Linked DNA regions of Cricetulus griseus. The protein of the gene in region 3 purifies or fractionates together with the protein of the main gene of each other region. This does not show direct contact. Links are inferred from orthologs where the notes say so. Each region holds a gene or a part of one and is shown on either strand. Other genes may lie near its edges.

Region 1 (5,239 bases), on a different chromosome or scaffold from region 3:
ACAAAATGTATGCTGGGCTCTGCAGACAAAGTGAGTGAACTAAGAATGGGGAGAAAAGGCTCACCATCCATCTGGCTGGGCCCTCCTCAGTGCTTAATTGGCTCTGCAGGTCCCTGGATGTGGCTGCCATGCAGGAGGCTGCCCAGCACCTCATCGGGACACACGATTTCAGTGCTTTCCAGTCTGCTGGCAGCCCAGCCACAAGTACTGTGCGAACACTACGAAGGGTCTCTGTGTCTTCTGGTCCAGCCAGCCCATTTGCCCTCCCCCAGGAAAGCAGGTGAGAAGAGTGGCCTTACGCTGGTCTAGAGGCAGCCAGAGTTAAATTAGTTCTCATAATCCATAAAAGTGGAATGATGCCCCAGGCATGGTAGTGTACACCTTTGATCCCAACACTTGGTGGGCAGAGGCAGGGGATCCCTGTGATTTTGAAGCCAACCTCATTTACAGAGTAGTTCCAGGACAGCCAAGGCTACACAGAGAAACAAGAAACCCTGCCTGTCTTGAAAGCCAAATCAAAACAACAATGTGGGATAATGCTAAACTGATATACACTGGTCATCCATAAGGCCTGGAGGGTGGAAGGTGCTGGCCACTTTAAAGGTATGAGCCAGTATTTGTGCCTTCTTCCAGCTGGGGAGCACAGAGTAGAGAATGTTGCCTTTCTGAGGGCCTTGCCATACCCATAGCTCTTTGTAGCAGATGGGTTTGGCAGTCACTGAAAAGGTTTCATTGGAGCTAGTGGTTCCAGTCCAGTTTGGCAGACTGGCAGTTCTCTGCACTGTCTAGTGGACTTCCCACTGGGAACCAGCTACTGACCTTGAGCACGTTGCAGCTGATATCAAGTTCCTAGGGGAGGAGGGCTTCAATGTAGCTAGGCACAAAAGTACATGGCCAGGGTTCCATCTTGATAGGTGAGCTGGCTATGTCCATTTCAGCACCCATACTGTGACCCCTCCACGTAAAGGAAGGCTCAAAGCAATTGTTATCCCCTGTGCACAGGCACACTCTGTTGTTTTCTGAGACAGCATATATAGACTCCAGGAAAAGTTATGCAATACCCACTCACCCTCTGGAACTGGTGGTCAGCTAGGCAAGAACCTACCCTGGATAGATGAGCATTTAAATCTGTCTTGTCTGAGGCCACATGGGTGGCTGGGGCTGCCTGTAGCTTGGACATCAAAATTATCTGTGTTTCTAGGAGACTGCAGTTCTGGACGTTGGAGTTTGAAAGCCAGTCTTTCCTATATCGACAGGTAGGCTGTACTAGACCCTCCCAGGGTGCGCTCAGGTAAATACCTGTGACTATCTCAGCTCTCTGCTGTAGGTACGGAGGATGACAGCTGTGCTGGTGGCTGTGGGACAAGGGATTCTGACACCCACAGAGGTAAAAGCGATTCTGGATAGTCAAGATCCCCTGGGAAAGTATCAGGCTCGAGTTGCCCCAGCCCGTGGCCTGTTTTTGAAGTCGGTGCTATATGATGACTTTGGTAAGAGGGGTGGGATACGAAACAGCTGGGCCCTCACTGAGGGGAGGGGGCTTTTGGAGGCAATCAAACCCCCCATTATACCAGATGAGAATCCAAACACCTAGTGGGGAAGCCAGTGACAGTGGGAAAAGGACTTCAGTTAGGTAGGATCAGTGATCAAAAGCATGGTGGCATGGATTGAGTGATCCATGGGTTCAGATTTTAGGGGGTATGTGGGGGTCTCTGGATGCAACCGTAGGAAGAGTTCTACTGACCTAGGGTCTCTCCATAGGACCAACATCCTGAGCCCTGTAAGGTCCAGTGTGAAACCAGCTAACTTGTACACTCAGTGGAGGTGAAGAGCCACACGGCACACTAAGTGGCTGTCAGCCTTGTCCAACACTTACTGCACTCCGCAAAGATTAATCCACAGCTATGTGGGGTCTAACAGCCCTGCCTACCTTCCAGCAGCTCCCACCTCCCCAGTCTTTCCACTGTGGCCATCCCTTTGTCACTAAAGGATGGGGTACCAAGCAGGAAACAGAGCCTCTGGTCCTGCTTTTCTGGGAGCCCCATCTTGGGGCAAAGTAGGAATAAAATGCATAAAGAACAAAAAGACCTGTTTATTACTTTAACCAGTCTGTGTGACTCTGGCCCAATACAGTGTCCATTTACTCAGGGCACCCACCTCCCAAAGCCAAAATCCTGATCCTTCTGCTGAGCAAACAGCAAGAGACAGAGTGGTGGGTTGCTGGTGGTTACATGTCAGCTGGGTGCCTGGGGAAGGCCATTTTTGAGCAGTGCTGTGAGAAAGCTTCCCAGCTCTTCATCCTACAAGGAAAGAGGGAAGCTCAGTTACCCACAGACAATATAATACCAAGGAAATGAGGTCTCCAGGCATACATACCACTGATGCCCATCCTCCTTACCTGGTAGGTCCAGGAGACCAGTAGTACCTTAGTACCAGGGTCCTCCGAGTGGGCAGCAGCCTGGATAAGAATGGACTCCACAGTCACAGAGCCATCAGGGAGATGCTGTACACAGTGGTCCTTGAGGGTACTGTGGAAAGGCATAGTAAGATCCCTGCCTCACCTTGCCTGTAGGGGTGGGAGCAAAGCCAAAGCGCACCTTTTGAGGTGGCTGTACACACGGAGGGCTGTTTCTTGCTCCTTGCGTGTGTCCTGCAGGTGCACCCGACAAGTGAAACGCAGTTGATGCTCAGCCAGGCCCAACTCCTTAAGGGCTTGCTCTGAGGATACCAGCCGGAAACTCTGTAGGGCAAGGGCAAGCAGCAGGTCAGGGGAAGTAATGAATGTTATAAACTATCCCCACTCCGTCACTCTTTACACACTTACACTGTCTTTCATAACCAGTGTGCCATGCAAGAGCCGAGGTTTTTTGGCCTCAGGGAGCAGTCCTATGAGGAAAGGAGCCCTGAAGTCAATACGAGCCACCAATAACCTGCCTCCCTCAGCCCGCGCCCCAGGCTGCCCTTCATACCCTGCACCATCTCCCGCTTCAGCAGCCCCAGGGAGATGCCCACAGGGATGCTGGGGCTGGTGGGCAGCGTCACTGTCTCACCATTGGCTGGCATGTAGCAGCTGACCCCTGAGAAAGTGATACAGAGCTTCAGTCTAGGCTGCCAGCCTGGCCTGTACCATCCCACAGGCCATCCCTGCCCACCAGTTGCCTACGGAATTCCTGTTCGATCTTCTGCCTCAAGAACTCCATCTTCTTGGCCTCGCCATGCACCAGCAGCACACTCTCCGGCTCTGCTTGTCCCACCAGTTGCATGATGCCCTTGGCATCAGCATGGGCACTAAATGACATGTATTCCACTTGCATCTTTACCTCCAGCTGTGGTGTCACAAGATGCAGACTTAGCAGCAGCAAGAGGCTGGAAGCCCTGCTGAGCCCAGGACAGAAAGGTACTCACCACCTGACGCCCCTCCATCTCCAGCTTCCGTTGCCCACTAAGGATCTTGTGGCCCACAGTGCCTTGCACACAGTAGCCAGGCATGATGACCTGAAAGCATAGGTGAGGTTCAGCTACAGAGCCTCCTAATGTAGACACTTGTTCTTGGGGCAACCCCTGACCTGAATCCTCAGGAGGCTAAGAGCCTATCTGGGCTACTGGTGGCAGAACACAGTAATAGCAGAGTCATCATGGGGTCAACACACAGAAAGTTCAAGGGCCAGTCCTTTTGTACTCCAGTTTCCTAAGACTATAACGAGCCCCTGTAGAATAGGAAATTGGGGGCTGGAGAGATGGCTCAGAGGTTAAGAGCACTGCTCTTCCAGAGGTCATGAGTTCAATTCCCAGCAACCACATGGTGGCTCACAACCATCCGTTATGAGATCTGGTGCCCTCTTCTGGTGTGCAGATATACATGGAAGCAGAATGGTGTACACATAATAAATAAATAAAATCTTAAAAAAAAAAAAAAAAGAATTGGAAATTGGCTTCAAACCCTCACCATGTTCTTCTCGTTTCCTGCCCACTTTCGGAAGATCTGCAGAGATTGGCCAGCATGAAGCATTCCAGGTGTGGCAAACACAACCTGCAGGGTTGACAAGGGTCAGGAGAGTAGACTTTACCCAGGGCTGCAATAAGCACCAGACCTTTGGTCAGCAGTCTTTCCCAGAGCTCCACGGGCAGGGATCCTTGAAGGCCAGGTGTACAGAAGCTGCATTGCCAGGGCCTTACCATGGGACCTGGGTTGTCAGCAAATGTCCGGTCAAAGGCTTTGATGTGCTTGAACTCAAACATGTTCCTCTGGACAAATGTCTTGCGGATCTTCTGGTTGGTCCAGGTGATGAAGAGCTTATAGTAGTGGTTGGCCTTCTCTGTCAGGCCCGTAGAGAAGTAGATGGGCACCTTCAGGTTCATGCGTTCCCTGTGTGTCCACCAGCCCAGTCAGTGCAGGGAGGCCAGAGTTAGCTTGCAACATGTGGCCCTATGCCCTCTACTGCACTACTTAGTAGCTATGGCCACAGCAGAGTTCAATATCCCTTGAACTGAACCCCATGCTGTCTCCTTATGACCACTGGGCCAGACCTCTCAGCTTGTGTCCTATAAAACAAACATGGGAGTGACAGGGGTCCCTAGAGTTCATATGAGGAGACTCAGCATTCATGCAGTGACCCATACAGCCAGCAGATAATGGTTCAAATGTGATATCCCAACACATGGACAGCTCCACCAAGACAGCAGGGCCAATGGTACTGTATCCTGGACACAAAGTACCTAGTGGTAGTCATTGTGGCCTTGACTTCTCAACAGTTCTGCTGTGACTGGCATTGTGAGGAACTTACTCTCCTACACAGAGGCTTTTCCATCCTTTCCTGCCCACTTGTGGAATATTCCTGTTTGTACCTACCAGAAGGTCTCCAGCAGGATGCAGAGCTCTTGTGCCCGGCCCAGCGCAAATACAGGGATCAGCACCTGATGGTAGGTGAGGCTGATTCAGGTGGGAGCCACTGGCCACACTACCTTTCCCTGAACACAGCAGGTAGCAAGATGTTTGCTATACTCTTGCAGGCAGGTAGAATGATAACATTCAGAGATAGCATTACTGCAAAGGAATAGCCAGACATCTAAGAACTACAGGGCTTTTTGTATATACCCCTGTAGAGATAGCAGGAACTGTGGGAGGCTCTTGAACAGCCCCTTCATGGGAGGAAAGCACGAGGGAAAGGAAGACTCTCTGGAATCCATCTCTCAGTGCCAAATAAACAGTAATCCCCACACCCAGAGACCCTGTCCACAG
Region 2 (5,682 bases), about 170 Mb from region 3:
GGTGGTAGCTGCAGCAGCTCCTATTGTTAGTATTGTTAATATTGGTGGAACAAAAGAGAACGAAATCCCTCTAAACTAGCAAGGAATGACTTTAAGGAGGTGGGAACAAACTTCACCAGCCCAGAACAGTCAAGGAGCAGTGTAGGAGCATGATTATGAACACAGCATTGTAGTGCCATTAAACCTCATTATAATTATATAATCATAAATGTCAATGATGACTGGATACATTTTAAATATAATGACAAAGACTTACTTTCCTAAAAGTCAGAGACTTTGAAATTAGAAGATTATCAAATTTCAGTTATTATGAGATAAAACTAAAACATACTTAAAATATCACAAATTAAAGAATGGAAATGGTATGTTGTGAATCAAGTAGATAATTACCAAACATAGCCCTTGACGTGAGTGAGGAGTCTGGTGCGGGTGACCATTAGATTATCCAGGCCATTACTGATGAGCATTGGCTCAGCTCTCCCATGAAAGCTTACCCAAGTTGCTGTTTGCCCAATACTAGCTTCAAGATTTCTGTAGCAAACTTTGGAAGGCAGGCACTTTCTATCATGTCTCGGCACTTGGGACCCTAGGGCAATTATAAATTTGAGAATACTGTGACCAAATGGCAAAATTCTTTCTCAAAAGAAAAGAACAACAACAACAAAAAAAAGGCACGCATACACGGTAAGTAAGCAAATAAATAAAGTGCTTGGCAGAGTTTATGAGGAAAAATGAGATTACCATCTTTGTCTGAAAAGTTCAGTGTATACCTTAAGCTAAGATCTCAGTGGTTACTGAGATCTATAGACTCTTGTACCTAATAATTGTCCAGTATTCTGAGCAGGTACAGAAACTGTTGATCACAGGAGATAACATGATTCCGTAGCCACAGAAGTACTTAGGATTTGAGTTCTGTGTCAAGATTGAATTTAATGATGAAACAATGACCTTTTCTTACTGTTGCAGGGATATAATTGGTGCCATGATCGGAATGTGGTTACCATTTTTAGTGCACCCAATTACTGCTACCGCTGTGGGAACCAGGCTGCTATCATGGAATTAGATGACACTTTAAAATATTCTTTGTAAGTAACTGTACATTTTAATTTATGTAATCACTTTAGAGGGAAAAGGTAACTGGTAAAAAACAGTTAGGGGCTGGAAAGATGGCTCAGCAGCTCTGAGCCCTTACTACAGTCATGAGAACTGAAGTTCAGATCCCACAAAGACCTGTAACTCCAGCTCCAAGGGATCCAACACCCTCTTCTGGCCTCTAAAGATACATGTACATGTGTGCACAGAGTCATATACACACGTGCACGCATGAATAAAATTAATCTTCTTGGAATGAAAACCGTGAAAGAGTTCTGTTCATCGTAAAAATTGTTTTCTTTTGATATGCTGGGCATGCAACCATGGCCTCATTCATACATGCCAGTTCATTGCTATGCCACTGAGCTATACAGCCCAGAAAAGGGTTTTAATTATTTACAGTTCATTGAAATTTTCCCAAGAGCTTATAGGTAATGGAAAAACATTTAACCTTAAGAGAACCATAAGCCAGGTGCAGTAGTACACATACTTAATCCCAGCACTCAGGAGGCAGAGGTTGAGACCAGTCTGGTCTAAGCAGTGAGTTCCAGGACAGCCAGGGAGTACATACAGATACCTTGTCTCAGAAAAACAAACTAACAAGACAGAGAAACCTGTCCATTATAACTACTAGAGGCTTGCATCCCTTACTCACACATTATTCTAACAAAAACAACTATAGTGGAGCTGGAGAGATTGTTCAGTGGTTAAGAACACTAGCTGAGTTCAATTCCCAGCAACCACATGGTGGCTCACAGCCATCTGTAATGAGATCTGGTGCCCTCTTCTGGTATGCAGACAGAACACAGTATACATAATAAATAAATCTTTTTGGGGGGAAGAAAAAAAGAGACTACTTAGGGTACAGGAGTGATGCAAGTTAAATTCCCAGCACCTACATGGCTGTTCACAACCATCTGTAATTCCAAGGGTTCCATCTTCTGACATCTATTTAGTTAGTTAGTTAGTTATTTAGTTAGTTATTGGTTTTTCGAGACAGGGTTTCTCTGTGGCTTTGGAGGCTGCCCTGGAATTAGCTCTTGTAGACCAGGCTGGTCTCGAACTCACAGAGATCCGCCTGCCTCTGCCTCCCAAGTGCTGGGATTAAAGGGGTGCGCCACCACCGCCTGGCTCTTCTGACATCTTTGATCACTGGCAATCATAGCACAAAATTTTAGAAGAAGCTTAAAGTAATAAAACATGTACTACTGGGGGATGTGGCTCCACTGGCCCCTGCTTACCTAGCATACCCCACAAAATGAACCCCCCCCCAAAAAAAAAAAAGAAACAGATAACAGACAAAAAAGGCACTTGATAAAATTCAGTGTGCTTTAAATAAAATCAGTAAGCTACACAGAAGGAAACTTGCTGTGCCTGTAGACAAATACTCACCCTGATTTAGCCAGGTGGTGGTGAGAGACAGCACTGACCCAAAGGCCCTTAAATTGATAATAGTGTCACAAGTATTTTCTGCCAGGCACTAACAACCATGTTACCTAACTTTTCACCATAACTCTGTGAAGTAATATAATTTATCACAGGTAGTGACATGCTCAGAGTTATTCCAGCCACATGGAATGTAGTAGCAGAAGAATACAGAAAGGATGGCTTTGTCTAGTGAGTGTCTTAGTGGCTTAGCTGCTGATTCAATTTCTTTGTCATTTATAGTCTTCAGTTTGACCCAGCACCTCGTCGTGGAGAGCCTCATGTGACCCGGCGTACCCCAGACTACTTCCTGTAAATTCTTCCCCAGGACCTTTCTTTGTATGTGGAAGTATACCTGGCTTTTTAATATATATATATATATATATGTGTGTGTTATATATATATATATATTTAAAAACAAGTCATCTGTGTGTTTCTGTAACAAATTGTGATATGTCTTGACATTAAACTACATCATGGACCAAACGTGCCATACTAATGATGAGCGTTTAGCACAATTTGAGACTGAACTTACTACACTGTGTTCTAGATCAGTCTGCCTGCTGTGTTGTAGGAACCATTCTTCTTGGCTGGTTAAGCAAAAAGGGGTCACTGACTGCTTCATCTCCTTTGCACTTGGAAATTTAGTTACAGTGTTTAACTGGCATGGATTAATAGAGTCGGAGTTTTATTTTTAAGATTTCACAACCTGACTTCCACTTAATTCATTACCCTGTATTTTATTGAAATGTGTAACTAACTGAAGAAGAGATTCTTGGGAGTATGTTGTCATAACATTAAAGAGATTTCCTTTCATTTAAACTAAATTACTGTTTGATGTTGATCTGCATTATTTCTGTATATTTGTCATGACAGTGCTTGCATCCTATTTGGTGTACTGAACAAATAAACTTTCCAATTTAAACAAAAATATTTTAGCTGTGATATGCATTAAGTGGAAGCATCACCATTTTAAAACTTGATACAAATACTTAAGACTGTGGTTATTTGTTTTCCATTTACTTTGGATTTTAAGATGGTCATGTATAGTCCCAAATGACCTTAAACTCCTGGGTTCCCCTGGCTCTACCTCCCAAGTGCTAGGATTACAGGTGTAGGACACCTTGCTGAACCACAATTATCTGATGTGTAATAAAAATAAGCAGCTGTACTGACAGGATTTACATGGTAAGCTTAGGGGCTGGGGATTAACTCTGGTAAGGTGCTCATTTATATTCATTTCCAAGTTACATGCACACATGCAAGTGCACACACACACAAGTAATGCTTGTTTATAGTTTACATTTAGAAGCAGAACAAAGTCAAGTATTTGCTGATAACTTTAGGCCATTAAAAAATCCATTTTCACATTCCTAAACATTTCATTGGGTGGTCTGTATTAACTTATTCTTTTGGGTAGGAGTGGGGAGGGTTGAGACAGCGTTTGTCTATAGCCTTGGCTGTCCTGGAACTTGCTCTGTAGATCAGGCTGGCCTCAAATTCACAGAGACCCACCTGCCTCTGCCTCCCAAGTACTGGGAGAGAGAGTTCCAGGACAGCCAGGGCTGTTACACAGAGAAATCCTATCTCCAAAAACAAAAAAAGATAAAGATATCTTAAGACAGACTCTAAGGGTATCAGTACATACAAAAAAACAACAGCTCACACCCCAAATGTACTTGCTTACTGTAGTTTCAATATGCTCCCCAAAGATCATGTTTCAAAAACTTTGTTCCCAGATTTAAGTCAAAAGTACATAGGATTAGTCCACTCTGAAATTTCTTTAAAGTCTTTTAACTTTTTAGAAATACAGTGGTATCAACATTCCTACTTAAAGATTTTGAGTTGTAAAATACTGTGGTAAGGTGGATTCAAGAAGCAGAAATCACAGTTCTTATATAAGGTGAGAATTGGTTTGTTTTAAGATGGTCTGACTCAAAAATTCCAGGAAGCATGTTTCACCAAGCCTGGCTGAGACCTGATATCAGGTGTCTGTCTTACTACATCTTTTTTACCTTGTTCTCACTTTGGTACAATGTAAGATGACATAGTCCTCTTCCATTGTATGTAGGTGTGCTCCTATGAACAAGAAGAGTTCAAGGTACAGCATGGCTTTAATGTGAACACTGCCCTGTGAGGTCACATGTACTGACTTTAAGGACAACAGGTAGTTCTGACTTTACTGGCCACTCTGTTCTTTCTCTTCCACGTTAAGTACCGTATCCACAGTTATTCCTATGTCCTCCAGTGACAAGCCTCCCTCTGTCTCCAGAGGCCTCCTGGGAAAGGAAGTGGAAAGACTATATATGGATTTGTGGTACCCAATCTTCATCATCCAGTCAAGTAAGACCTAGAAGATAAAAAAGGCTTTAGTATCAGACTAAAGGTTCTCCAGAGTCTCTTACTGTGACACTGTACAGCTGTGTCATTCTGAAATTGTGTCCCAAGGAATGAAAAGTGATTTCCACATCTTTCAAAGAAATTTTCTAGACTTTAAAGGAGAGTGGTAAGTCATGAATTTGGTGATATGAATAACCTTTAATGCCTTTCTTCCAGAGAAAGTATAGGCCTACTAGCATAGTAGTAACAAAGTCTCATCCATAAGTAGGGTATGGAAAATATTCAATGAAATGTGGAGAACAAAAAACATTTGGAAACAGATATTTGGATCAAAATCTAAGCCAGCAGAACACATCAAAATCATGAAGGAGCTTTGTCAAAATAGACATATTTGGGCCCCGAGACAAAGCTCAACTTACTGTGAACCATTCCTATAACTGTCCATAAAGATTACCATATATATAATGGGTTCGAAGTCCAGCACCACAAAAAAAGAAAAAAAAAGTCATGATAAAGTTTTCAAATCCATTTGAAAACACATTTGCCTCAAAACATGAAATGTTATAGCATGTTTTGCTTCAAAAGGAAAAGTTGGATATATTCCCATAGAGCTATAGTCCCAGCTGAGGCTGGAAGACTACTAGAGCCAAAAGTTACTGGGTTTGAGATCAACCCACACAACAGCAAGATCTTCTGTCTCAACAACAAAAAAACAAAACAGATAAATGACAAAGATAAAATGTTCCGCTGGTCTTTGGTGGCGCACACCTTTAATCCCAGCACTGGAGAGGCAGAGGCAGGTGGATCTCTGAGTTCGAGGCTAGC
Region 3 (6,708 bases):
CAACTAATGACAAAATTGTGAACCCGTCACTTCAGAAAAAAAGGTTGCCCATTTCACAGTTTTGTCTAAGGAGTGATTGTGAATGTTTCCTGGTTTCTGACTGTGTATCTGCTGCCTATCTATGTGCCATCTCTTTCCTGTTCAGCCTGATGGCCTTGCCATTTATAACTTCTGGACTTTCGGGATGAAACCCTGATCTTTGGTCCCCAGTGCCATCACAAGCCTGGCTTCTGGTTCTTTGCTTCAGGTTAAGTTCTCTGGACTTGGCTCCCCTCCGTCTTTGCATCTGTCTCCACCACACACCTCCAGGACAACCTGCCAGCAGCACTGACTCAGGGAAGAACTGCATGGGTCTATTGGCAAGTGATTTCCAATAACTGTAAAAGGGACAGTGTTACTGATGTATGCTACATCAGCAGGCTCCTTTGATTTCCTGCAAACATGCTTTTGTTTCAGTGCCCCCCAACAAAACTGATCTAAGAAAGAGGATTAGATTTCTTTCACTGGACTGAAGGCCTTCTTCCTGGGCCTGATGACCTTGGCTGTGCTTCCTTCGGTCTAGCTGTGGCTATCAGCAATGCAGTTCTACCTTCCTTCACATTTTTAATGGCTTGATTTTTTTCTTCTCCTTTCATCATCAACTGCTGCTTCTTTAACTCATACAGGACTAGTATAACTCTACAGCACACAGGAACTAGACATTTGTATGGCCTTACAGGAGTCTGTTTTCAGACAGGCAGGGCTCACACATACCTGAAAGGCCCTGGTAAGAAAATGAGATTAAATCTCTAAAAATTATGCAATCACATGGAAAGAAAAATGGCATGGCAGTGAAAACAACTTGTCATCAATCCTTGAAGTACTAAACACAAACCTTGGAAACTACTATCACCCACGATTTAACAGGTTTCTTTTTCTTCCAGAATCATTTTCTGGCTTTCAGTGTCTTTATATTTTCTTAGACTACCACAAACTCTTTGAAGTCCCGGCCCTCATTTTTTCATATATTAATTCCCACTAGCCCTAGTCTGCAGCAGATACTGGCTGTTAGTTCATCATTTTTTTTTTATAGTCTTAATCTCTAATAATCTCATGCCTCGCCGGGCGTTGGTGGTGCACACCACACTTTTAATCCCAGCATTGGAGAATTAGAGGCAGGCGGATCTCTGTGAGTTAGAGGTCAGCCTGTTCTCCACAGCGAGTGACAGGAGAGGCTCCAAAGCTACACAGAGACACCCTGTCTCAAAATACAAAACAAAACAAACAAAAAACTCATGCCTCTACTATGGTTCATTCCCACAAAACAGTATGCTATAATTTGTTTTTAATAAATTAAAAACTTTCCGAGTTCTTTTTTTCCCTCTGAAATATTAGGAAAAGCCCAAACAACAAGGGCAGATTAAAAAAAAAAAAAAAGTGTCACAAACATGCCACTTCAGTTGCCCAGCAGGCCAGAATTTCAGCATAGAGAAAATCCGGAAATGCAGGACCGGTGGGAAAGGCCCTATAAATACCTACAGTCTAACCAGGCCTCTATGTCCCAAATTCAACTTGTGTATCAGGCAGCGTCCTGCAGTTTTCCAACTACACTTGAGAACAATTCATACGTCTTGCAGGCGCAGATTGAAGGCTTCAGGTAATGTGACATGGGCAGAGAATTTTTCTGACACAATACTGGCAGGGACTGAAAGGCGGGTTTCCGGGAAATCTATTCTCTGGGTCACCTGCGCAACGTGGTCATCCTTTCCATTTTAAAACGAGGGCAGTGGATTAGAATCTGGCAAGCTCCTTTTTTTCTTAATATACTCTAGTGCCCAAACACGAGTGGAAGAGGGGAACTTGGTTGGGGAGGACCGCTGTTTTCCTGGTCCATACTTGAGTTCCCCTTCGTGTTTGCAGGGTTGGGGGAGGCACTCCAGGACTGGCTTCCCTTTCTGTGGGTGCTCTGACTCGCTGCAGCCGGAGCCGAATGACTGGCGGGGATTAGCACCAGGTCATAAACAACCTTTCACTTCCCCTCCCCCCTGGGCCGTCCCGGGGCCCGGCCTGCAACGGCCGCGAGGGCCTGCGCGGTTCCCTAGCCCCGGCCAGTTGGCTCTCCTCAGCCCTGCACTCTCAATCGCGACGCAGAGCCCTCGCCCACAGGCTGAGGGCGGCTTCCACTTCCCCTCTCCCGACCCTGTCACCGAGCACAGCCCAAAGGCCGGCCGCCCTGACACGCACGCCCACAGCCGCTGCCGCCCTGCGCGGGCCGACCCAGTCCCCGCCCCCATCCGCCGCGCTTCCGCGGCGTGTCCCCGCCCCTTCCCGGAGCCCGCCTCCCGGCTGCGGGACCTGCGGCCGCCCCTCGCGCTGGCTCTAGCGCGCACCCGGTGCCCCGCCTCCGCGCGTGCTCAATAACTGTCCTCTGAGTCTGCCTACAAGCTTCCCCCGCCCCTGAGCTGTTTGAATATGCTAATAAGGCTCTAAGGACCAGCCAGTAGAACTGCGGGCCTGCGCATCACGTGACACGAGTACGTGTCAGGGGCGGAGCCTACGTAGCCCCTGCCCGAGTTAAAACCGGAGAGTGAGAGAGAAAAGCGCTTCAGTAGCGAGAGGGGCTGAGAAAGTGGTGACACCGCTGGGGTGCGGAGGGAGTCCCTGAAACTTCTCCCAACAGCCCCAGGGCCAATCTCCCCTCAGCCCAGTCCCCTCTTCGCCAGATCCCTGGTCCCCACTCCCTGCACTGGGGGTGGGGTGGGGAACTGGGCCCGTCTCCCGCGGGGACACACACAGGGGCCGGGAGTGGGGACGGGACCCCCAGGCGGGGGGGACGGACGGACAGGCGTCCGTGCGGCCGCCCCAGCAGGCAGGCAGGCAGGCCGGAGGCAGGGGTACGACCGGGAGGACCTGGGCTGGGGAGTTTCCTCTCAACTATCGGGGGAGAAACTCCCCGCAGCCGGTGTTTTCCTCCCGGGGGCCGCGTTCCCCGCCCCGCGTAGCGGCGGTTGCCGCCGCCGCCGCCGCCGCCGGTGCTTCCACCTCTGCCATCTCTTCACCACCTCGGGCCCCGGTGTCCCCGGCCAGCACTATGCCCATCTTACTGTTCCTGATAGACACGTCTGCCTCTATGAACCAGCGCAGCCATCTGGGCACCACCTACCTGGACACGGCCAAAGGCGCGGTAGAGACCTTCATGAAGGTACCGACTGACCGAGCCCCGGCGGCGACCCCGACCCGGTGGCCCGCGGGGGGCAGGGCGGGGGGCGGCGGGGCTACTGCGGGCGCCTCGGGCGCGGGGACCCCTCCCACCGCGCGGGCGTGCGGGCGGGCGGGGCGAGCGGGCGGGCGAGCGGGCGAGCGGGCGGGCGCTGGGAGCTGGGAGCGGGCTCCGCTGGGCCTGGCCCATGTGGGGCTACTGTGGGTGCGGGGGTCGGCGGAGTGGTGGCCCTGTGTGTACGGTACTGTGGGGGCGGCCAGCGACCCTTCTGCGACTGGTAACCTCGCCTCTGTGCTTCCTTCTCTCCCTCCCGTCCCCACCCTGGCCCGCAGCTCCGTGCCCGGGACCCTGCCAGCAGAGGAGACAGGTATATGCTGGTCACTTTCGAAGAGCCGCCCTATGCTATCAAGGTAACAGCCCTCGCCCTCCCCCCTCCCTTCCCTGCTCCTTCCTAGCTCGCCCTCCCCGCCCCCCTCTTCATTATGCTCCCCTCCCCCACCGCGGCTCCCGCCTCCAGGTCCCTTCCCCTGTGGCCTCCCACCCCTCCCCAGCTCGGGAGCGCCGGCGCGGTGGCAGTTTCTGGCCCACCGCCGTCCCCTCCGGGTCTGGCTCGGCCTGGCGGTGGAGGCGCTACGATCAACATGGCCGACATTTCCCCTCCGCGGCGTGAGCGGCAGCAATGAACTGTGGGGGATATTTATTCAAGTTAGCCCGAGTGACAGCCGGGCCCAGCCTTGCCTAGCCAGGGTTTGCATTAAAAGGGAATCAGCCAAGCTGGCAGGGAAGCCAGGAGGGGGGCTTCGAGACTTGGTCATCACAGAGTGGAACTAGGAAGGCCACCGATTGGTGGGACAGCTGTGGTCAACTTAAGAAGTCCTGCTGCCATCTGCCTTCCACTAGTACCTTCGCAACACCCACCCCTTACACACAATTTGGAGGATGTTATGTTAGCGAATTTCCCAGTGAAGTTATTAAAGTATTAAGACTGTGTAGGGCAAGCAGGTTCATTCTTGGCCACCTTTGGAAGAGATTTCCTCACCCAGAGACAACAGTTATAACATGTGACCCAAGCCATATCAATCAAAAGTGAAGTTAACTATACAAACCCGAAGTGGAATGCCTGCTTGGTGGACATCACATTATAATCGGTGTCCATGTGTGCTGTGGCTTCAAATGATAAAAAAAATTCTTACATCTTTCTTTTCAGGCTGGATGGAAAGAAAATCATGCAACGTTTATGAATGAACTGAAAAACCTTCAGGCAGAAGGACTTACGACTCTTGGCCAATCCCTAAGGACAGCTTTTGATTTGTTAAATTTAAATAGATTAGTAACTGGCATAGACAACTATGGGCAGGTAGGTTGAATACTAAGGTAGAAAAGTTGTTTTTATTTATGTGTACAAAAACACAATCCAGTCCAAAAGTATGCAACATGAAATGCAAGTATAAAACATAACAAGGTTGAAATTTAGTGTGCACACAGTTCAAAACACCTAAGGTGTATGAGTTCCCTCATTTTCCCCTTTAAGTGTATTTCCCTGTAGACTTCGAATCTAAATTCTTGGCTATAAAGTTGACATGAATTTGGTTTCAGTCCCTCAAAGTTCATAAAAGACATCAAGGGGAAGATACCCTGTGAATACACCACTCTGAAACTATGCCACGTGTAGGTACATATGTAACTACTGCAGTGGGTCACAGCTGTCCCGTTGACTGCAGTTTCTTCTATATTAGTAAAGACATTGGAAGACATGACTGTTAGATGAGGGTTTAGCTTAACCTAGATTGTATACTTGCAAAGGTGAGATTTGTCAGTAGTGCAGTCATTGGTTGACATTCAGATGTCTCTTGAGGCCTATACTATTAGAAGTTACTATAGTAGGAAGTCTGAAAGTAATGACAGATTGAGAATTTTTAAAGTTTAAAATTTCAAAACCCTTGGGAAAATGTTTTCTGGGAAACATGAAAACTTGCCTGTCTTTCTGAAGCTCCTCAAAGTTCCTCTCATTTGTGAGGATGAGGCAAGAGCTTTAAGTCACAGCAGTCATTTACCAAGGAAATGTGAGATGATCCATTTATGATATGCTATCCTAGAAATAAAAGATAACAAAGAATATGTATTGCTGCACACCAGTAGTATCACACCCAAGAAATTCAGTATGCAAAGCACTATTACCATAATACTATATTTAGGAATATATGTTATATACTCTTCCCAAGTTCCATAATGCACAGTTCTCATGAATTTTGAACATCTCAGGGAAATTCTTCCTGTGACTTCACAAGCTATATTCCTCATTTGAGGATAACTCTTAAACACATATCCTCCTTTAAAAATGGTGGAATTTAGTCCTATAGCATTTAAAGTATGCATTACTAGTCAGACTTTTCTGAATGCATTTCCATCATTTAATTAATATCAACACGTTATTTTTTCTTTTTTGTTGCTGCTTTGCCACTTGTTGGACTGTTTCTGTAAAAGAGTTTTATTTCTTTGTTGTATGTAGTGGTATTTTCTTTTATCGTTTAAGATTTTAATCAAGCTTTGCCAAGTTCAAAGACATTTGAAACTTGCTATTTAGTTCCTTAATTTTGCTGTCAGGTTGTGTGTTGTAGAACTATTTCCAATTTTCTTCTGTCCCATTTGATAAGGGGAAGGGCATTGGGATACATCCACCTTTGACTACATACTTAAAACATAGCAAAAAGTCCTTTAGGAGAACTGTTTACTATGGGGAGACCCAGGGTACTTGTGTACTTTCTCTTTTAGGAAGTTTAAGATTGAAGGCAGAGCTTTTGTGTTTTATCACTTGGAATCAGAGAAGAAAATATGGGGATTGGGATGTTCTTACTGATTAGGGTTTATTAACTTACAACAAGGAAGGATAATGCCTCATTTATTTTAGTGAATCAGGATTCAGTAAGCAATGTTAATAGTTTTTGCTTATATCCTGAATTAGTACATAATGAAACTAGCCTTAAAGTAATTAAGAAGCTACAATTTCTCAATTAATGGAAACATTTTGAGTTAATTTTACTTGGAAGAAAACATGCTTTTGGATTTTTCATCATAAAAACATTTTTCTTTACTTAAATATTTGATATTTCCTATTTATATGAATGTTGGAATTTTGGATGATTGAAAGTATTTAACCCTGAATATTAATTTGGGTATTTGAAAAAGAACTTTGTAGGATAGCTTTGTTCTGTAACCTTAGTATTTTTGTATGTAAGTACTGCATGCTGAATAATAGGAATACTTGATATAGTCCCAGTAGTTAGAGGAAATGAGAAAAGGTGGGTTATCTGGAAGACAGCATGTTAGTCTAAAGAGCATCTATACATCTTAATATAGTTCCAAATTATGTTCTTAACTATGGGTTAAACGCACACATATTTATTTGTATATTTACATCAGTAACCTTTTCCCATATACATTTTCATATTGCATTTACTAACTTGGCATTCTTAATTAGGTAAGATACTCAGAATTGTAAGGCTGAAAGA
Region 4 (6,598 bases), on a different chromosome or scaffold from region 3:
AGCACCGATGCTCTTACAGAGGACACCAGAGTTCAGTTTCCAGGACGTCAAGCCCCTCACAGCCATCTGTAACTACAGCTCCAGGGCAGGTGATGCCTTCTCATGGTCTCCATGGGCACCTGCACGCATGTATCATATACATACACAGGAATAAAGATAAAAAATAAATCTTTGCATATATATATATTAAAATATTCTTTTTTTTCTTTCTCCACTACCCTTTTCTTTTTTGTACTGAAACTAGGGCATTGTGTATCCTAAGCAAGCATTCTACCACTGAGCTACAGCCCCAGCCCTCAAGTGGGACTTTTCTTAAGGACAGAAGAACCAAGAACACATAGCTGGGTGTGGTGGTACATGTACTTGGGAGGCATATTTCTGTGAGTTCGTCCAACCCTATCTACACAGTGAGTTCCAGGCCAACAAGAGGTACACTATGAAATTCTGTCTCAAAAGCAAAACAAAACATAAACGTGTTAAGCTAGAACTGGGAGGCTGACTAATAATTCTACTGACCACTTGAAAGTACTAATCATATGCTTTCTACCTAATACGCAGAGCCTGCAATTATATAACATACATTTCCATTACTCATTGTATATATTTTGTTGGGTCCAGATGGTCTTCAATTCCTTTCTCAAGCATGAACCCTGACAGAGATGTGGTCTCCTGACTGAAAAACTGTAGGCATGAGATAAAGCCTAGGAGGAATGTGCACTGGGGCAAAAGAAGTCAAGGGCAGGGAAATGGGAAAGAAAGAATTCAGATGATTCAGCCAAAGAGACTGTTTCTCAAACTCGGCTTGCAATCTCCAGGTGCTAGTTAAACAACATATAAACAGCAATGGGGAAAAAAAATAAGAATTGCTCATTCTGGAAGTGAACCCAGGCTCTTGTGTCTCTGTCTCCCATCACCTTCTTTCCAGGACCCTGAAATGCCCAGGTGTGTTGACCATTGTCAGGAGCCAGCTCCGGTCAAATATAAAAAGTCCTTCTTTACAGAGGCTTGGACAGGAGACACCTGCCCTGGCCGGAGAGCAATTGACATTTATTCCTCCCCCCACTTCCTCTTTCTCTGCTTCCTCCTTTCTCTTTAAAAATCCCATTATTATCAATAAAATTTAGACCTTGACAAGACCACTGCTTGGTCTCGCTTCTTCTTTCTCGACCATTATTTTCAGGCTTGGTCCACCTCGAACCCACGAATTACCGGAGCCCCCCTGGCCGGGGCAGACCATGGCATAACTGTTTAACATATAGTTTCTAAATGTAATAATATCCTAAAATATAATCGTTAATCATATATAATTATGTATTTGTGACACATATGTCCCCAAATTCAGATCTATCTTTATATCAATGTCACTAGAAATTAAGGATTTTCAGCAGAAGAGATAAGGAGTACAAACAGAAAATCAAAATACTGCTAAGTGAAAACCTCAGTTTTTAATTCGGATTCTCACGATTTACATAAATTGATTAAGCATGCCAGTAAGAACTCATCGACATCTAAAAACGCCTATTCACACTAACCCCTGACAAGCCCAGTACCGGTTATCCTCTGGTAGTAACAAACACAACTTACGCGCCCCCACCCCATCTTGTGACTATAAAGGCATCCAGGATTTCCTAAAATGTCTAACCCAAGACAGTTCAAGAGGAGAGACTGGAAAAGCATCGCTAGATACGAAGGGAGACGACACAGGAAAGGGGAGAGGTTTCTACACAGATCATTCAACTCGGGAGGGACGCCTCGTCCACACAGCAGCGTTAGGGGCCACCTCTCCATACCTCCCCCGGGCTTCCCAGTTCTCGTGCCTCCACTCAGGGCCAGACAGAGACACACTTGGATCCCAAGGCACATCACGGATTACCAATGCCCACTCTCTCCGGAAGGGCGTTTTCTGTTTTAATTGTCTCTCTATTCTGAGAAGAGGGAGGGGGGAGGCAGGGAAGGGAAAAGCAAATTTAAAAAAAAATTACAAAAATAACCATGGGTCGCTAAGAGAAGATAATCTTCACAAGGCTGCAGCCAACCCTGCACCTTGCTCCCTCTCAAACGTGCATTTTTCAGTCTTAAGGGGACGTGACTGTGAGAATTCATAGGAGCCGGTAAGGGGGCGGGGGTGGGGGGGGTCCCAGCGCTGGGCGTACACCCGCAAATACCTTCCGGCTCGCTGACTTCTAACCAAAGAACTACATGTTCCTCAGCCGGATAGCAAGGGCTCGCCCAGTCCGCCCCGACCAGCCTGTCCTCCACTACGTCACTCACCGCTCTCCACACCCCACCTTACGCTCTCTCCGCACCGCCCCGCAGAGCCGCACCCCCGCCCCCCGCACCTCCCACCCTCGCTCCTCATTGGCTCAGAGCCCCGCTCGTTTCCGCGGTTGCCAGCGGTAACGCGAGGCGGGCACAATTTCGGTCGCTAAGACGCCCCACTTCCGCTTCCGATCGCCCGGCGGAAAGCCCAGCCCGCTTCGCCCCGACCAATGGAGCGTGGGAGGTAGGCGGGACTTGGTTGGTGTGGACCAAACAGACGCGACCCGGGGCGGCCAATGGGGGTGGGACGGCCCCTGTAGCGTGGCCCGGGAGCCCCCACGCCCTCTCGCGTCCTTCTCTCTCCCCACCCGCTCCCCCGCCCAACACGGCGCCGCCCCGCCCGATCCTGGATTCCGCCCGGCGCTGGCCGCAGCTTGACGGAGACGCCGGGGAGCCAAGATGGCAGCTGCCGACGGCGACGACTCGCTCTACCCCATCGCGGTGCTCATAGACGAGCTCCGCAATGAGGACGTCCAGGTGCGCCCGGGGCGCCCTGCCCTTAGAGCTGGGTCGTGGGGGGGAGACCGGGGACCTGCGGGGCGGCGGCGGAATGCGGGACGGACGGGGAGACAGAGAGATGGCTCCGGCTGCTCCGGGAGTGGCGGAAGGCAGCGGCGGCCAATCAGCAGCCGCGTCTCATCGTGCCGAGGGGCGAGACTCCATGAGACGGCGCTCCTGATTGGCCGTGGGCCCCAGCGGAGGGCAAGCCTCGAGGGTCCCTCCTGGGCGCGCGCGGCCGCCCGGGGAAATCTGTGCCCGGCGGCCCGAGATGGGCTGGGGCAGGGAGCCTGGGGCCGGCGGCCCGTCGGGTGATTGGCGGCGGCGGACTCGGAATGACCCCCCCCCCACCCGGGGGGGCGCGTGAGCCGCCGAGGAGGGGAAGCCCTCCTGGGTGCTGGGGACCTCGATTTCCCCATTGCTCCTCGGTGTTTTCCATCCTGGGCCCCAGGGGTGCTGATAACCAGGGCAGCAGCCCACTCCTCTCGGGCCTCCGCCTCGTATTGATGCAGGAGGAGGGGAGAGGAGGACGTGGAAAGGCATCCTCCTCTCCCGAAATTCGACTAGCCTAATTCAGGGACGGGTCACGTGTGCACACGCCACCCCACCCCACACCCCCTTCCCCAGGCTCGCCCCAGGCCGGACTTTTTGCCAAGGGAGGTGATAGTTCAGGTTGGCGGGAGAAGAGTGACCCAGGCCCAGGGGCTTTTAGTGGGTCTGCTGTGGTTCTGAAAAAAAAAAAGAGAGAGAGAGAGAGAGAGGTCAGACCTCAAGGCCTGAGGATGACCTTGTGTTCACGTTGTTCCATCGCCCCTGGCTTCCGTTTTCTACCAAATACCGGCTAATAATAGTCCTGGCTTACCCCGGTGGCTGAGGAGAGGTAGTAAAATAAAACTGGCCGCTTGTAAAGGCCCCGTAAATGTTAGCTGTTATATTTGAGGGGAGTGGCTTGTTGTGGTACCGTGCTCTGCGGCGGTGCCCCTGTTTCTCCTGGTGGTGCACTGGGTAACCTGAGGCTGCGCCCAGCCTCTAAGTCTCGTGGATATGATTCAGGTTCTGCTGCCAGACAGGCTGGAGCTGTATTTCCGGGCCTTGCACGTTTTGCTGATTGACCCAGGCAACCCAGTGTGAATCTCTTCGGTTAAATGGGAATAGCAACCTGGTTTTAGTGTCGAGTAAACACATGCGGTGTTACCAGGAATGTCATTGTTGGGGGCAGGCGTCGTGGTGCATGCCTGCAATCTCAGCACTCAGGAAGCAGGGGTGGTAGGTTCAAGGCTAGCCTAGTCCACATAGTGACACACTCTGTTGTATCAACAAAGAAACAGGCTGGTTGCTGCCCAGGAGCCAGGTGTGAAACAGGTAAAGAGAACTAAATAAATATACTACCACCTGTGAAAAGGGACGAGACCTGTCGGTGTTGCGATAATGAATCAGCAGTTGTTTGTTGGGCCTGTGTTCTGAGCTGTGCTCTGGGTGTTTGGGTACATCTGGGAGGAAAAGGACAAAAACTGGCCTTGGAAGAATCTACCTTGTAGTGAGGAGTGGCAGATTGTGTTGACTGTGAAAGGTTGTAAAGAGAAAAATAAGGAATATAGGGTGTATTGTTAGAGTAAGTGTGGAGAAGTCTTGTTGAAAAGTTGAGCCGGTACCTGCTTGTGGTCAAGGAAGGAATTGTGGGGTTCTGGGCAGAGTGCATAACATCTAAATGTTGGTCGAGGAATTGGACCAGTTCAGAGACTCCTTCCAGGATGCAATGCTTGAGAAGTTGGGGGTGAGGCTTACAGAAAGAGGGACTATACCTGTGCAATGACTGTAGTCCTCAGCTTGAAGCTATTTTTGCCACCAGGGATGTTTAGCAATGTCTAGGGATGTTTTGGTTGTCATAACTGGGAGATTGTTGCTGCTTTTAATGGGTATGCGTCAGGAATGCTGTTATACATTGTTGTTGTGTATAGGCCATCCCTCATGGAAGAAAAAAAGTCCCATTTAAAGACATTGGTACTAAGGTTGAGGGAAGCTCTTGGATGAAATATGCACCCAGGGATAGTAAGGAAGTTGGTTAGTTTAGGTCATTGTGCCAGTTTTGTAAGGCTTCTGTAACACTTTACCATAAATTTAATAGTATAGAGCAGCATAAAGTTTTATTTATGGTTCTGGAGATGAGAAGTCTGTCATAAGTCTCACTGGGTGAACATGACCTAAGATCTGGCAGCTGATTGATAACAGCCTAGCTTTGAATTCAAGCCACATGGCCTCACAGCTTTCTGCCTCTTCTTCAGCATTCACAGTGCCATCTTTCTGGGGGGGAAAAAAAAGGACATTGTTAACAAAATCAAAATTTTTGAGTGAAAGAACAGCTGCCCACAGGTGGCAGGGAAGCGCCATATTTAGGATCCCAATTCTTATGCATATTTGGTTTTTTGAGGCAGGGTTTCTCTGTAGCTCTGGAGCCTGTCCTGGAACTCGCTCTGCAGACCAGCCTGGACTGGAACTCACAAAGATCTGCCTGCCTTTGCCTCCCAAGTGTTGGGATTAAAGGCATGCGCCACCACTGCCTGGCTAATGCTTAGTTTCTGGTTGGGGGTTCATTGCTTTCCATAAAGTGTCTGCATCAGCATCCTTGCTTTTTAAAATGGCATTTCTGGAACAAAACCTCAAAGCAGAGTGTCGAGTGTGTTACTACACAGGGAGCAATCTGTAGATGTTATGTGCTGTTATTAGTGGCATTAAAATTATGACTGTGATTGCATCTGCTCCGTGATACCATCCATTGTTCTCAGGGCTGCTGTTCCCCAGTTGTGGCCCATGCATTTCCCATCGTCCACCTGGGAGATGAGCACAAACATCTGCATGCCTTAAACACAAAGGGGGGAAAGGAAGCAGGCTGCTAGGACAGCCATCCCTGTAGAATTTCATTGTAAAAATTGAGGCAAGAACATTGGAAAGCTAGTGCACAGGTCAGCAAAATACAGGCTTGGACCATATCCAGCCACTGCCAGCTTTTGCAAGTGAGGTTTTGCTGGAATACAAGCCAGGCCAGTTTATTTACATAATGTCTCCTTCCCATGGCTGTTGCTGTGCTTCGAGTTCAAGTTCAGTGGTTCAGCAACAGTGAGTGGCCTGTGAAGCTGGGAACATTTACTGGCAATTTAAATAACAATTTTGCTGGGTACTCAGCAGTGCACTGAGCACCTACAACCACAAAACTCAACAAAACCCATGTGGAGCTTATTGGGGAGGAGATCAAGGGGACTAGGTGCGGAAATGAAAAGGGGGGAACAGGTGGGAAGCACTTGCTTAAAAGGGAACGCTTGCACCTGTGTACAGAGTCCTAACACAGCCATGCAATGGAGGGCCCTTTGAGCTTTCTAAATGTCTGCCTGAACGCAGGTATGCTACCCTCCCTGGTGTCAGGGGGCGGGGTCAGCATAATGCCAGGATATCAGCAGCACCTGCAAACTTACTGCCAACATCTAGGGATTGTTAGTGTTTGCAATATTTGGTTTTTTAACCTTTCCATAGACCCCTGCATATCTTATAGGCCTTAAATAAGTTTTTCCGAACTTAAAGTCCTTCATTTATTCTGATTTTTTTTACTACCAAAATGAGATTGGGAGCCTCCTTTGTTGTTTCATTGCTCCAATAGCCAAGGTAATGTTGTTCTTTTTGTTTTTGTTTTTGAGGTAAGGTATTGTTTCGTAGTGCAGGCTGACCTGGAACACATGTTGTTTCTGCAGTAGCCTCTCAAGTGCTGGGGTCACAGGCTTGTCCTGCTGTG
Region 5 (6,925 bases), on a different chromosome or scaffold from region 3:
GGGCTTCCCTTGAAGCCCATGGTGAGCACTGTCTTCTGTGCTACTCTCCTGTTTCAATCAGATCTTGTCTTTGGGTTTTCTATCGGACTCTTTCTGTAACTCTGACTTTTTTATGCCTCTTGCCATCCCATAAAGTTACTGCCGTGGTTATTACACTTTATCCTTTGTAGCATTCCTGTCACTCTGCAGACGAGCATGATTTATAATTCACTGGGATGGTGTATGCTTTGGAGCAGCCCCCCCCCCCATGTCAATGCCTTCCTCTACCTCAGGAAGAAATGTCACCCCTGTTACAGCAAACTCTTTATTCTCTGGTAACTTCTGCCTTCTGAGTGCATTTCTTTCAGGGTTCTGTTTAAGGGCCTCTTTTCTCTGTGTGAGCCACTTTTTTGAGGCCCATTTAAATGCTTCAGGTGCAACTACACAGATCTGTAGAAGTGGAGAGCATTATATCTTTACTTCAGAAGTACATTGAAAGTGTATCATTCAACACATGGGCATTGTTGAAGTATACTTTGGGGACCTTTGAGGCAGCTCAGTGGTAAGAGCACTTGCAGTCAGGCCTGCCATCCTAAGTTCAGTCCCAGGGGGTCACATGGTGGAAGGAGAGAATTGATTCCAACATTGTTCTTTGACTTCACACACATGTGTCGACAACCATTGTGTACATACACACATGTAATAAAAGACATGTGTTTTGTTTTTCGTGTGCGTGTTTCAGCACTTGCTGAAGTGTGTGTGTGTGTGTGTTAGCACTCTTGCTAAAGTTAGCTCAGGTGTGGGTTTTTTGTTGTTTGTGTCGAGGTACATTATCTAACTGGCCTGAGAACTTTTCTTTGTACATCATCTAACTGGCTGAGAACTTCCACCTTCCAACTGAAAGGAGCACTAAGATTACAGAGCTGCATTGCCATGCCCTGCTTTACATGAGATCTGAGGATTTGAACTTGGCCCCTCATTTTAGAATATAAATCATCTTAACACACTTAGTCACTTTCTTCAGCCCTCTTGTTCATCTATAGATGCACACCTCATCCTTTTTTTTTTTTTAATTTTTTTTTCCGAGACAGCGTTTCTCTGTGGCTTTGGAGGCTGTCCTGGGACTAGCTCTTGCAGACCAGGCTGGTCTTGAACTCACAGAGATCTGCCTGCCTCTGCCTCCTTAGTGCTGGGACTAAAGGTGTGCGCCACCAACGCCACCACCACCCAGCCACAACCTCATTCTTTTAAAAGGTTTCGTTGTATTCTGTGTTTTTAAATTATTCTTATGTTTTTTATTTTTAAAATGATAATATAACTACATCATTTCCCCTTTCCCTTTCTTCCCTCCTGCCCCTTCCTTATACCTCTCAAATCCATGTCCCAGTTTTTTGTTAATTATTGTTACACACACATTCCTAATACATGAATACAACCTGTTCAATTCTTGTAATGTTACCTGTATTTATATGATCCTGGGGCTTTTGATATTATATTGGATAACCCATTGCAGGGCTCTTCCCTGAGGAAGGTTATTTCTACCACTTTCAGCATCCCCCGGTTCTTTGTGTAGGGTTGAGATCCCTCTCCCTTCCATGTTAACATGTCCATTGGCGTCGTTGTTCAAGCCTCATTTAGGCAGTAATGTTGGTGAGACTTGATGTGTGTAGCCTTTGTAACATTTCTAGGAGACACAATCTCACGGCAAACGTAACGTTCCTCTGGTTCTTACAGTCATTCCACTCCTCCTTCCTCAAGGATCCCTGAGCCTTGGGTGTTGAATTAGCTGCAGATGTATCAGTTGAGACTGAGCACACAACAGTCTCTTGTTCTCTGCAATTTTAACTGGTTGTGGGTTTTTTTGTTGTTGTTGTTCTTGATGTTTTGTTTTTGTAATGGTCTCCATCCTTTGCAAAGAAAAATTTCTTTGATGAGAGGTAAGAACTGTATTATCTTCACATGGTTCCCCTGAGAATCTTTAGAACCTTGATCCTTCTTCCAGAAACCAGCAGATGCCCCCTCAAACAAATGTGTCAAATTGCCATCTCTCTTTCACATTAGTAAGAGAAGCCCTCTTACTACTGGTCAAATGTCTCCTTGCTTCATATAGTTTCAGAGGCTTAGTTCATTATCATCATGGCAGCATGGAGCATGGCAGCATGCATGGTGCTGGAGAAGTAGCTGAGAGCTGTTTACATCCAGATCCAAGAATAACAGGCATAGAATATTTTTTAAATTATTTATGTATACGGGTGTCTTGCTTGCATGTATGTCTGTGCACCATGTGCATACCTCGTGCCTTCATGCCAGGAGAGGGCATCAGATCCCCAGAAACTGGGGTTAAAGGCATTAGTCGCCATTCGGGCGCTGGGAATCCAATCCAAGTCTTACAGAAAAGCAGCCGGTGCTCTTAACCATTGAGCCCCATATGTATGTATGTTTAACCAAGTCTCCATCCATCATTACCTAATGAGTTATTCTTAGCAATTACAAGTAAGTAGCACTGGTATGAATAACCCTGTACATGTACCTTTGACCTTTGTGCTATATATCTTGGGGATTCCAAGAGTGTAGGGCCTGGTGCTTTTTGGAAGCAGAAATTTTGGAGAGTGTGGTTAGAAAACGCAGACCAGGAGAGTTTCGGCCTCCGGTCAGCAGGTGGCGCTGCGCGCACGCCTAGCCGGAAGCGCCAGGGACCCCGCCGACAAATTGCTGGTGGCGGCGCAGGCGCGCTGCGGGACTGGCTCGGGAGACTGGCTGCGGGTCGCAATGCCGTACGCCAACCAGCCAACCGTGCGGATCACGGAACTCACCGAAGAGAACGTCAAATTCATCATCGAGAACACGGACCTGGCGTAAGGCGGCGGGAAAGAGGCGGGCGGGCGGGTCCTCTGGCCCCCTGCGGGGCTGTGGCTTCGGGGCCGCTCACACGGTCTGGCTTTCCTCCTGTAGGGTGGCCAATTCCATTCGGAGGGTCTTCATCGCCGAGGTGCCCATAATAGGTATGCGACCCTCCCCCGGGGCCCCTGCCGCTGCCCCTCGGCCCCAGGCGGGGGGCTGAGAACACTGCGGTGCTGCACGCTGGGCTGGGGCCGCCGGGGCCAGCAAGCCTTGGTGCGCGCCTTGCTCGGCAGTGTGGATCCCAGCACAGTTCTGACTACCCGAAAGCAACAGATAAATTAAGACTAAGCACTACCAAAGAGCTGAGAGCTGCGGCCTCCTTATCCATAGGATGTAGACGCTAGGACTCGTTAACAGATGATACCCGGGATTACCGAAGTCGTGTAGATATCGCGCCTTTACTTTTAAGTCAGTGTTGGATTTGGGTGTCTTTTGAAAACGTATGTTAATTGTACATAATAACGGGCTTCGTTAGGACATTTTCACGGACCCCCCCCCCCCCAGTACTTGAATTGTATTCATTTCCCCATCCTTTCCTTTTATTCCCCTACTACTGTTGTCTCCCGGCCTTCTTGATAGTACCCTGCAATATTTTCTTGTCTCTGACTCTCTCTTCTCTAAAACATATTTATTTACGTATATATGCATGTGTGGAGGTTGTACAGCTTGTGGGAGGGATTGAACTCAAGTCTTGACAAGTAAGTGCCTTTACCCTGCTGATCCATCTCGCAGCCTGGAACTCTATTTAAAAGACTTATTTATTATGTATACAGTGTCCTGCCTGCAGGCCTTAAGAGGGCACCAGATCTCATTATAGATGGTTGTGAGCCACCATGTAGTTGCTAGGAATTGAACTCAGGATCTCTGGAAGAACAACCAGTGCTCTTAACCTATGAGCCATCTCTCCAGCCCCGAATTCTCCCTTCTTAAAAGTTGAGATTCAAAAAATAAATAAAAATAAAAATTTAAAAAAGTTGAGATTCCGCATGAGAGAAAGCATGTTTATTTTTATGACTTCTTCCTGCAAATGACATACTTTTGTTTTTTTATGGTTGAATAATACTCTGTGTGTGTTTGTAATACCACTTTTTAAAAAGTCTCTTTTTAAAAAATGGATCTCTTACTTCCTCTGCATGTGTAGATCATGTACATTCCAAGCTAGGTGTAGAGACAAGACATGGGCAAACACAAGGCAAAAAATGACAGGTGTCTTGGGGGGTTTTCATCAGGTTTTCTTTTTTCTTTTTTTTTTTTTTGTTTTTTTTTTTTTTTGAGAGAGACAGACAGACAGTGGAAGGAAGGAAGGAAGGAAGGAAGGAAGGAAGGGAGGGAGGGAGCTCAAAAGGAGGGAGTGGCAGCATCTGTAGACACACAAGGTTTTTAGAGGCTAGGAGTTTTCACCTGCCAGGGTGTGGGAGGGTGGGGAGGTAGAATAAAGGCATGGGAAAGCTTGGATGTGTGCCCTTGCTTGGGTTGAGGAAGTACTGCAGGGCAGAGCAGGTTGAGCCTATCATTGTCTGGTCTTCTGACCTCTTTTCCATGTGTCCATGCCGGTTATTTGAGAACTGGGCTCTAACACCATTTGGTTTCTGAATTTCATTGTTTACATGCAGGTGTTTGCTTATGAATGACTAGGTACATATTTAAGTGAAGCCTCTGTAAGCACATAGTCTTATTCTGCGAGCAATGAAATGGGAGGGATTGGGTTTTATTGTTAGTATTTGCTTCCTATTGAAGATGTTCAGTGAACAGCCACTGATGAGAGTAACACTGAAATTCTAAGGGGTGATCTGGTTATTTCATAAAATGAGATGTGGATCACAGCAGTGTTGCTTCTATGATGTTTTCCCTAACTTTAAATTTTTAAATTATTTTTAATTATGTCTCTGTGTGTGGGTCTGTGCAGGTGGAGGCAGGTGCTAGAGGAGACTAGGGGGTCTCAGATTCCCCTGGAGCTGGAGTTCCAAGCAGTTGTGAGCCACCTGCCATGGGTGCTGGGAACCTCTTAACCACTGAGCCATCCCTCCAACCCATGTTTCCCCCAACTTCTAAGTGCCCAAATAGCTTTTGTTCTTGGATATGATAGTAACAGAATATAGCAGATTTAAAGTGCTCTTTGGGGAAATATTCAATTCCCTAATTATTACACTCCTAAAATACTCTCTAAGTGAATGTTTATTTTTATGGTACCAGTAAGCCCTATACCCAATTCACTGGAGGCAGCACGGTGTTAGGTATGGTGTGTATGTGTGTGTGGTTTGTTTAAATTGGCTGCCTGAACCTCGAGCTAGCCCTGTGGAGGCAGTCTGTGGCAGCCTGGCCTGGATACCATCAACCCTAAAAACAGTGATTCTTTTCTTTCTTTTATAAATTTGGTTGGTTGGTTGGGTTGGTTTTTTTTGGGGGGGTGGGGTGGGGTGTTTGGTTGGTTGGCTGGTTGGTTGGTTGGTTAGTTGGTTTTTTTTTTTTCAGGACAAGGTTTCTCTTGTAGCCCTGGTTGTCCTAGAATTCACAGAGTTCTGCCTGACTCTGCCTTCCAAGTGCTGATCACTAAGTAATACTTAAGTCTTGAGAACAGGGCTGTATGTCTGGAGATGCTGGAGGATGTCAGATTCTCAGATGGTGGTTGGTCTCACTTGTGCTGTTTGATTGCCTTTTCCAGCCATTGACTGGGTTCAGATTGATGCCAATTCCTCAGTCCTTCATGATGAATTCATTGCTCACAGGCTTGGTAAGTTTGGGCAGGGCATTGAGAAGTGGAAGGGATTAAAGGGGGGGTACCTCCTTTCCCAGCCTGAGGGACTTACTTGTAGGTTCTTGTGATGGCTTAGCTGTACTACAAAACAACTTTTCTGTGTCTTGCAGGATTGATCCCCCTCACTAGTGATGACATTGTGGACAAGCTGCAGTACTCCCGGGTATGTGTGTTGATGGGTAGATTGGAGGCACAGGAAGGGGGGTTCAGGAGGGACTGACTAGTTCTCCCAGAAATCTTTCTTCCTACGTTCTGACTATAGCATAGTTTAGAAAGCCATTGTGGAAGTGATATCTTAATACTGTGATCTTTGGTTCTGATGTGTTTTCAGCACATCCAGGCATCTTATCAGTGTGCCTCACAGAAGGGGACACACCCTGGAATGCCAATAATTCTCGTTTTAAAGATAGCTTTTTCACTTTTATGTGTGTATATGTCTGCTTCTGTATTGTGTGTGCAGATGGGTTAGGGTACTGGAAAAGGTCAAAAGAGGCCAGCAGAGCCCCTGGAGGAGCCCCTGGAGCTAGAGTTACAGGCAATTGTGAGTTGCTAGATGTAGATTCAGGGAACTGAGCTCAGGTCCTCTGCAAGAGCAGCAAGTGCTCCAGACCTGCCTCCCCAAACACATTTGTTTTTGGAGGGTGGGTTTTTGTTGTTGTTATTTTGTTTTGTTTTTCTATATCTTTTTTAAAGATTTATTTATTACAGTGTTCCACCTGCATGTATCCCTGCAGGCCAGAAGAGGGCACCAGATCTCATTGCAGATGGTTGTGAGTCACCATGTGGTTGCTGGGAATTGAACTCAGGACCTCTGGAAAAGCAGTCAGTGCTCTTTAACCTCTGAGCCATCTCTCCAACCCTGTTTATTTATTTATTATTTTTTTTAAGACAGGGTCTCACTATGTAGCCCTGGCTGGCCTTGAACTCCCAGAGATCTGCCTGCTTTGCCTCCTGAGTGCTGGGATTAAAGACATGTACTACCATGTCTGGCTGAGAAACGTTAATAAAATGCCCCCTTTTTTCCCCTCTGTAGTTACCAAATGCTAATGTTTTATTACATTTGCCTCATTTCTTATATAGTGTTATCTTCCCCTAACCTTTTAGAAAATAAGTTAGAAGCATCCTGAGCTTTCTCCTGTAAATACTTGAGCACATGTCAATGTGCTGTAATCCTATATGCCTGTATCCCACTATTTAGGAGACTACCTAGTGAGATATACCCTGTCTAGGAATGTACAAAACACCCCAAAGAATGGCAGATGTTGATAATTAAGAGGCTGGAAGGTGGGT

What was found.
Region 1: the proteins of Ints6 (region 3) and Ints11 purify together in Homo sapiens (affinity purification with mass spectrometry; 3 studies listed by BioGRID, with this or other methods). This does not show direct contact. The link is inferred for Cricetulus griseus from reciprocal best matches to the Homo sapiens genes INTS6 and INTS11.
Region 2: the proteins of Ints6 (region 3) and Ppp2cb purify together in Homo sapiens (affinity purification with mass spectrometry; 3 studies listed by BioGRID and IntAct, with this or other methods). This does not show direct contact. The link is inferred for Cricetulus griseus from reciprocal best matches to the Homo sapiens genes INTS6 and PPP2CB.
Region 4: the proteins of Ints6 (region 3) and Ppp2r1a purify together in Homo sapiens (affinity purification with mass spectrometry; 4 studies listed by BioGRID and IntAct, with this or other methods). This does not show direct contact. The link is inferred for Cricetulus griseus from reciprocal best matches to the Homo sapiens genes INTS6 and PPP2R1A.
Region 5: the proteins of Ints6 (region 3) and Polr2c purify together in Homo sapiens (affinity purification with mass spectrometry; 3 studies listed by BioGRID and IntAct, with this or other methods). This does not show direct contact. The link is inferred for Cricetulus griseus from reciprocal best matches to the Homo sapiens genes INTS6 and POLR2C.

What each region holds. Positions count from the first base shown.
Region 1 is NC_048595.1:398,275-403,513, forward strand, and holds the end of Ints11 (integrator complex subunit 11), read right to left. Parts: intron 4,915-5,239; coding exon 4,850-4,914; intron 4,367-4,849; coding exon 4,177-4,366; intron 4,031-4,176; coding exon 3,947-4,030; intron 3,496-3,946; coding exon 3,406-3,495; intron 3,327-3,405; coding exon 3,164-3,326; intron 3,078-3,163; coding exon 2,970-3,077; intron 2,887-2,969; coding exon 2,825-2,886; intron 2,741-2,824; coding exon 2,598-2,740; intron 2,529-2,597; coding exon 2,399-2,528; intron 2,301-2,398; coding exon 2,235-2,300; 3' UTR 2,073-2,234; downstream 1-2,072. Other genes in the region: Pusl1 (tRNA pseudouridine synthase-like 1), read left to right, coding at 1-30, 110-280, 1,202-1,256, 1,328-1,490, 1,762-1,775.
Region 2 is NW_023276807.1:51,169,878-51,175,559, reverse strand, and holds the end of Ppp2cb (serine/threonine-protein phosphatase 2A catalytic subunit beta isoform), read left to right. Parts: intron 1-966; coding exon 967-1,085; intron 1,086-2,760; coding exon 2,761-2,833; 3' UTR 2,834-3,344; downstream 3,345-5,682. Other genes in the region: Ubxn8 (UBX domain-containing protein 8), read right to left, coding at 4,697-4,867.
Region 3 is NW_023276807.1:217,769,607-217,776,314, reverse strand, and holds the start of Ints6 (integrator complex subunit 6), read left to right. Parts: upstream 1-2,579; 5' UTR 2,580-3,070; coding exon 3,071-3,181; intron 3,182-3,531; coding exon 3,532-3,609; intron 3,610-4,406; coding exon 4,407-4,556; intron 4,557-6,708. UniProt on the Homo sapiens protein: Component of the integrator complex, a multiprotein complex that terminates RNA polymerase II (Pol II) transcription in the promoter-proximal region of genes.
Region 4 is NC_048602.1:19,091,557-19,098,154, reverse strand, and holds the start of Ppp2r1a (serine/threonine-protein phosphatase 2A 65 kDa regulatory subunit A alpha isoform), read left to right. Parts: upstream 1-2,637; 5' UTR 2,638-2,718; coding exon 2,719-2,796; intron 2,797-6,598. UniProt on the Homo sapiens protein: The PR65 subunit of protein phosphatase 2A serves as a scaffolding molecule to coordinate the assembly of the catalytic subunit and a variable regulatory B subunit.
Region 5 is NC_048596.1:171,078,106-171,085,030, forward strand, and holds the start of Polr2c (DNA-directed RNA polymerase II subunit RPB3), read left to right. Parts: upstream 1-2,676; 5' UTR 2,677-2,748; coding exon 2,749-2,834; intron 2,835-2,931; coding exon 2,932-2,981; intron 2,982-5,542; coding exon 5,543-5,611; intron 5,612-5,745; coding exon 5,746-5,798; intron 5,799-6,925. UniProt on the Homo sapiens protein: Core component of RNA polymerase II (Pol II), a DNA-dependent RNA polymerase which synthesizes mRNA precursors and many functional non-coding RNAs using the four ribonucleoside triphosphates as substrates.